Linked DNA regions of Arabidopsis thaliana. The protein of the gene in region 1 interacts with the protein of each later gene in a pairwise test. Each region holds a gene or a part of one and is shown in the gene's direction. Other genes may lie near its edges.

The links. The genes of interacting proteins can lie anywhere in the genome.
Region 2: the proteins of LOG2 (region 1) and GDU3 interact in a two-hybrid assay, tested with the Arabidopsis thaliana proteins (2 studies listed by BioGRID).

The regions. Positions count from the first base shown.
Region 1 is NC_003074.8:2,996,608-3,000,367, reverse strand, and holds the start of LOG2 (RING/U-box superfamily protein), read left to right. Parts: upstream 1-2,112; 5' UTR 2,113-2,532; coding exon 2,533-3,035; intron 3,036-3,216; coding exon 3,217-3,724; coding exon of another isoform or gene 3,725-3,739; exon of another isoform or gene 3,740-3,760. UniProt on the Arabidopsis thaliana protein: Acts as an E3 ubiquitin-protein ligase, or as part of E3 complex, which accepts ubiquitin from specific E2 ubiquitin-conjugating enzymes and then transfers it to substrates (in vitro).
Region 2 is NC_003076.8:23,365,327-23,369,086, reverse strand, and holds GDU3 (glutamine dumper 3), read left to right. Parts: upstream 1-2,023; 5' UTR 2,024-2,284; coding exon 2,285-2,731; 3' UTR 2,732-3,282; downstream 3,283-3,760. UniProt on the Arabidopsis thaliana protein: Probable subunit of an amino acid transporter involved in the regulation of the amino acid metabolism. Stimulates amino acid export by activating nonselective amino acid facilitators.

The DNA.
Region 1 (3,760 bases):
TTACTGCTCTGTAATAGTATTAAAGGAAACAAATATGAAAATAACCTACTAGTAATTCTTTTGACAATATAGAGCTTTTCTTAGTCATAAAACAGCTTTTGTTTCAAAATTGGAAACGATCTCTCTTTTTGGGATCTTACACAAAGTACACATGTACGAAATTCCTCATTGATACATCATTCCTCATTACGAACCACACAATTAGATCTAACATATATATATTTGTTCCACTCAAATACAAATCTTGTTAGGGTAACATCACCTCTGAGGAAACGACAAAATGAAGTTAATGAAAGTATTTGGCTTTAGATGGATTCGTAGATAGTACGTGACACGTTGCTGATATGCGGACTTCAGATAAATTATCGGCTAGTATCATAAAGATAATGTAAGGGTCTAAGCATACTCACTAATTAACGAAATATCTTCTTAGAAACACCTGAGCTCGATCTATTTCAATCATAGTGACTCAAACCTAAGAAAATCTTTGACATATGTATATTACATTAGTGTTCCAAGAAGATGCTACGTTCGACGTCATATTTGTTATCCTGTAAATTATAACAAAGATGCATCAACATTCAACAGAGAACAAAGTTTAGTTTTTATATATATATATATGTCACGATCATAGGTCTACATAACTATAAATTGATACAATTGATTTTACAGATTTTACACAACATATGTATCCAACTTGATGATATATCCGGTCTGCCGTTTCCCACTATATATAGAGTATTTTATAATTGATTCCCATTTATTTTTCTTAGTTTATATATGTTCGTCTTTTGGAATTGCTTAATGAAAGTGTGTGCGAGTGGTTAGGTATGCGATTCTATTATGTCTCTTTATTTATTTTTGATTTCGAATCGCACCACTACCTTCGTATGGGAATGTTTCAATATGATATCTATCTGTATATGATCACGAATATAATTTGATTTTGATCAAAATCAACATGTAATATAATTTCACGTAATATCAAACATCCAATAGTTACAGTTTAATCTGGCTACTGAATATATATATATATATATATATATATCTTCCTTTGAAAGAATGTTTATATATTTTTATTCTTTGTGACGTTTTTTTTAGCTAATGGTGATCTCTTGACTCTAAATTCATACAAATTTTTTAAAAAATTAGCTTAGGGTTTTGAAAATATAAAAACTCTTTTAGGGCTTATGTTTTCTTTTTGGTCAACGGAGCTTATGCTTTTGTAGAAACACTAATTTTTAAGACATTAAAGTATACATCAGTTTTGTTTTGTGTTTTGGGTTAAACTTATACACAATTATTCAAAGACGACAAAACAAGTTTAAATATGAATTCCAAAATACCAGTTCATCTTTTCGGACTACTGTATATAAGAATATTATGTTGGCAAAAAGTAGGTTTATTATAGGTTAAAAATAAAAATAAAGTATAGCCTACTTTGTTAGGAATACATATTAAACTTCACACTAATTACTAGTAGATATTTAGGCAATATAAGTCTAGAAGCGGAAAGTAGACAATGCCTATTGCCTAGTATACATTTCGGACAGCACAAGTGACTTTTAACTCTTTAATCACACAGAAGACAGAACTATGCAATGATCGACAACTTCTTCACTCTGTAAAATATTTGGATTTCTCAATTAATGGTTTCTGAAAATAACATCATCTTTTTAAAGCATGAACAAATTAATCCTAATGTAGACCTAAATAAAAATCTTAAGACCATCTTTATCAGTAAAAACAAGGAAAGATTCTAAAAAAAAATAAAAATAATATTTTAATTAAAACAGATACATTAATTATTATTTAATAATTGAATTAATAGTATGATGACACTTGTCCAAATTGGATGAGAATAGTTTCTCAAAGTTTCTCGGAAGAGAAATTCAACTCTCCTTCTCTTCTACTTTTTTTTCCTTCTATCATACTTTTTCTTCTTTAATTATTTTTTTTTTTTATTGGGTATCTTATTGAGATACTTCAAATGGAGATGCTCTAATAATTAATGGGAATGTGTTTCTAATTAAAAAGATAACATCTTTCTTTCTATATTTTTGTCGTCATATAACACACCTCAACTCTTTTAAGTACTCGTGTTGAATTTTGTTTTTTGAAAAGACAAAACTCCTTATAATCAACGTAATTATTAATAACAAGGAGAAAAAAAGTCCAAAGAAAAAAAAAAGAAAGCTTTTTGGGAACATAAACACCATCGAAGGAGGGTGGGAGGTGTTTTATGTTCATGGGTGGAGCTTCTTGGCCAACCTGACCCCATTCATCATATCATTACCCACTTTCTTCTCCTAAATTATTCTCTCTTATCTCTCTCTCTCTCTTTTTATTTTCTTTCTTTCTTAATTCATCTAAACTCTCTCTGCTTTTGCTTTTCGTAATTCCTTACATTTCACTCAATATTAATCCCCAGAATCTCCGATCCACCCACAAATTTAGCAATTTTCTGAGATTTGATCATTTGGGTCACCAAAAAATCTTGTCTTTTTGATCTGGGTTTAACGCCAATAACATATGGGAAACATTAGCAGCAGCGGTGGTGAAGGTAGACGCCGTCGACGGCGAAACCATACGGCGGCTCCACCACCACCTCCTCCTCCTCCTTCTTCTTCTCTTCCTCCACCACCTCTACCTACAGAAATCCAAGCTAATCCCATCGTTTTCGCTGCCGTTACTCCCTATCCTAATCCTAATCCTAATCCGGTTTACCAGTACCCTGCTTCTTACTACCACCATCCTCCCCCGGGAGCCATGCCTCTTCCGCCGTACGACCACCACCTCCAACATCATCCACCGCATCCTTACCACAACCACTCTTGGGCTCCCGTGGCGATGGCCAGATACCCTTATGCTGGTCACATGATGGCTCAACCGACTCCTTACGTTGAACACCAGAAAGCCGTCACGATTCGTAACGACGTTAATCTCAAGAAGGAGTCTCTTAGGCTTGAACCCGACCCGGATAATCCGGGTCGCTTTCTCGTCTCCTTTACGTTTGATGCAACCGTCTCCGGAAGGTAGATTTCACTTTCTCCCTTTCGTTGATTTCGTGATCCATTTGAGCAGATAACACGTGAATTTTGTTGTGTTCTTCCTCGTGACTATGTAATTTGGATCTTCTTATTGCAATTTGATCAAATCTTCTTCATGTGTAATTGAATTAAGCTTATGTTATTATGTTGGACTTGTGAAAAATAGGATTAGTGTCATTTTCTTTGCTAAAGAATCCGAAGATTGCAAACTCACAGCGACAAAGGAAGATATACTGCCACCTATCACTCTAGATTTCGAGAAAGGACTTGGTCAGAAGTTTAAACAATCATCTGGTTCTGGTATAGACTTTTCGGTCTTTGAGGACGTTGAGCTGTTCAAAGCGGCCGCAGACACAGAGATCTATCCATTAGCGGTTAAGGCAGAAGCAGCTCCCTCAGGTGGTGAGAATGAAGAAGAAGAAAGGTCGGGGTCGAAGAATGCGCAGATTACTCAAGCGGTTTATGAGAAGGATAAAGGAGAGATTAAGATTAGAGTGGTGAAGCAGATACTATGGGTTAATGGAACGAGATATGAGTTGCAGGAGATTTATGGGATTGGGAATACAGTTGAGGGGGATGATGATTCAGCTGATGATGCTAATGATCCTGGTAAAGAATGTGTTATATGTTTGTCTGAACCACGAGACACCACTGTTCTTCCATGTCGACATATGGTAAGTGAAAGCTGATGATTTACTACTATTATGTGA
Region 2 (3,760 bases), on another chromosome or scaffold:
CGAGTTGTCTAAAAGTTCGGACACTCTCTTTTTAACTAGTAAAACAAACTATTGAAACAAAATTTTAACATCATAAAGTGTGAGTTGTTTTCAATTGTTCTAATCGTTTTCTCAATGTGTTTGACTAATCGAGAAAAAGCAAATGATAGGAACTTGACCAAATAAACTTTGATCCAAATAGACTGTGCAAAAACATGGGACCATTTTTGTTATCTCATCTATAATTTTTAAAATTATCATTGATGAGATAATTGAGACCTCAGGCATATGGTTTGGTATGTTGTTTCCAGCTTTTTTTCATTGGGGTTTCCCACTTTCCTTTTTGATGATATATAAAATTTTCTGTACTCCTCTAATATATCATTAAAATATTTTAAAAACGTAAAATTTGGTATGTTCTTGTTAGAATGATGATTTTGGTGCATAGTGGATTTTTTTATATATGATAAAATCAATAGTCACTTGTTAAAAGCAATTTATGGTGGTGGTGGGCTACCGTCTGTTTTTTCATTTATATTTATGTGTTCACAGTTCACGATGAAATATGATAACATATATATATATATATATATATATATATACCTATCATAATTATTTTTTATGCTGTATATATGTGAAAAAATTGTCTATATATAGTAGTTAATTAATTATGTATATGAATACAGCATGAAAAATTATTGAGAGCGAGTGTGAGTCTTGTTGTTCTTGCTTTGCCGAGTTTCAAGGTCTCATACGAATTCATTTGCTCTTTAACAATCATGCATATCTTGCATATATATCAATATGTTGGAGATACAATAAAGTTGGTTATAAATATGTATAGTGGAACTCGAAGTAAGAAGATTTAAACAAACATGTAATTTTAGTTGTTTTAGGTAACGTTCACTTTACTTGTTTGGCGTTAACGGTTATTACGTTTCCGGCTATCTCTTCACGTTTGCATCGCTCACCTAAATTTTAGCGGCTTTAACGGAACCGTTTTTGGTCAGTCTCTTGTCCTTATCTTATTCCCCTTTTAATTGCCTCTTTTAAACCCTCTTTCTTCTTCAGAGTGTTTCTTTATCTATTAGCCATCAATCATTGGTTTTTTTGTTCTAGTTAAAAAATTCATCATTTTCATGACTCTTATGTTTTCATGTCTCACTTTTCCACTGTAAATTAGAAAAATAATTATTAGCCAAGTAGATGTTGATCTTACGCTGTACTAGTAGAGAGTATAACCACTCAGCAGATATTTTCTGTAAAGTCATACTATATTTTATTCGAGTGGATTCGACACTATGTGAATGGTTGTTAATTATCTAAAACAGTGTTTAAGTGTTACAATAAATGATTACTAATATTATAATTCCTTGGAGTATGATAGAATCGAAGATATTTTTTGAAATTATCCACTGATTAAGCTTAAAAAGTAGTAAGGAATACTGATTAAGAAACAGACCACATTAATTGGGTCCCAACTAATCACCGGCACCTAAACCAACAGAAGCTCATCATTACACGGCTTGCTAACTATACATAACATTCCTCTGTAAAGCATGTAGTTTCAATTTTTGAAATATATAAACCCTTAACCTTGCTGAGATTATAAATGTTACCAATCATTTTTAAAATGCTATTGCTGTGAATGTGAACGTCGATTATTTATGTAAACTTCTAAGTAAAACACATACACACATTACTCTAGAAAGAAAAAAGTAGATATGTTAGTTATCTTTTATGTTGGTAAGCGACTCAAAACGGACAAAAAAAAATGAGTATGGTAAATCTCAACAGCCAAAAAAAAAAGTTTACCATTGAATTAAGAATTTTCTCTTAAAAATATGTTTGGAAATCATAGGAAAACTTGTTAAATGTTTATTTTTTCATTTACAAATTATATATATATTCAGTGGTTAATCCTTTTGTACACACCATCTCGATTACTTTAGCAAACGGCAAAAATAAGACATAACATAAGTTATGCACTCACGTCACGACTCCATATAATCATTCATGATAACTGAGAAACATAAAAACTGAATTCATATTGCTTTTTTCTCCAACTCACTCATTACATACAAATACATAAATAAATAAGAAAAATTTCCATAAATCAGAAGTAAAAAGAATCTCATACGCAAAATAATAAAATTAAAAATTGATACGTCACACACAATCCACAACGTTAATTCGCTTCTTCTCTTCTATAAAACCCTTCCTCACTCATCTTCCTCCTCACACCAAAACATTTTCCTAAAAAAAAAAAAAACTCAAAACTCAAAACCATCTTTGTGAAAAAAAAATGGAAGGAAGACAATATTACCCTCCGAGAGAAAACGTTGAAGGAAACAGAACCACCATGGGAGGAGGACCTCACTCACCGTGGCATTCACCGGTTCCTTATCTCTTTGGTGGTTTAGCAGCGATGCTTGGTCTCATAGCTTTTGCTCTTCTAATCCTCGCTTGCTCTTACTGGCGTCTCTCCGGTTATCTAGACGGCGAGGAAAACCAGAGCAGAGAGAGAGATCTTGAAGTCGGAGATGTGAAACCTGACAAAACGGCGGTGAAGCCTGTAGCTTTGCCGGAGAAGTTCTTGGTGATTATGGCCGGAAATGTCAAACCTACTTACTTAGCAACGCCGTCGGTAAAAACGTGTACTTGTGACGATGATGACGATGAAGATGATGACGTGGAGGGAAGTGATCAGGTGGTGCCGCGGAGTAGTGAAAGTAACGGTGAGACACATTGACAAAACCAGAGGAAGGGAAGAGAAAAACAGAGGATCGTCTTATTGTGAACAGTTCTGAAGAACTGTTTGCAGCATCTGACCCGGTTGCGTCGGGTATTCGGGTTGGATCATAACTCTACTTGATGATGAGTAATATTGGAAAAAATTGGAATTGGGATTGAATTATTAGGAGTTGTTCTGATCAATGATGTATTTAAAAAATCTTAGCTTTTGCCTTTTGCATCGTTAATTCGTTTTTTTTTTTTTTGTAAGTTTTGTGCCATATCTAGGTCATGATGAGGGATAAAATGTAAATTTCTGAGACTTTGAATGTGAAATTTGTGATTTATGGAATTGAGAATGAAAAAACAAATAACTATCTGAGACTTCAATGAAAATATCTTGATTATTTTAAAAATTCACCAAAAAAAAAAGGTGATTAAATGATGAAAAAATTGTACTGTTCCAGTACATGTTTTTTCGTGGGATTAATGTGACAATTGTGGTCCGAACAAAAAAGAAAACAGAGAAAATATCAAAAGATTCTTCAGGTGAGAAAATTGAAGTGAGGACTACAGGCACGTGTGAAGGCACATGCAGAAGAATGTCTGATTTAATTTCTCTTAGGTGTCTCTAAATTGATGCGGCGAGGTGAAGCAGTTAAAATTAGCTTCAATCAACGACCCTAATCGTGTAATTAATCTCCTATAGCATAATTCTTATCAGGAAAATATTTTATAAGTTTCGAAAATGACTTTTAACTGCACTAGGTCTCTTTTCTTTTTTCCCTTTCAATCTTATCTTGTAGGCTGTAGCCCTAGCTAGGTTTCTTTTTTTTTATATTACTTTAAAGCTATGGATTCTTTATTTATACATTCATCTAATGAAAATGGATTACCAACTATTAATAGTGAATATTCGAGTTCAGAAACTAGACTTTGATGAATAACCGTCAATCTTTTGCCTCTTCTTCTTTGTTGCATAACAAATAGTTTTGTTTTATCAAAACAGAGTATTTTTATCAATTTAACGATATATGTTGAGCTGCGT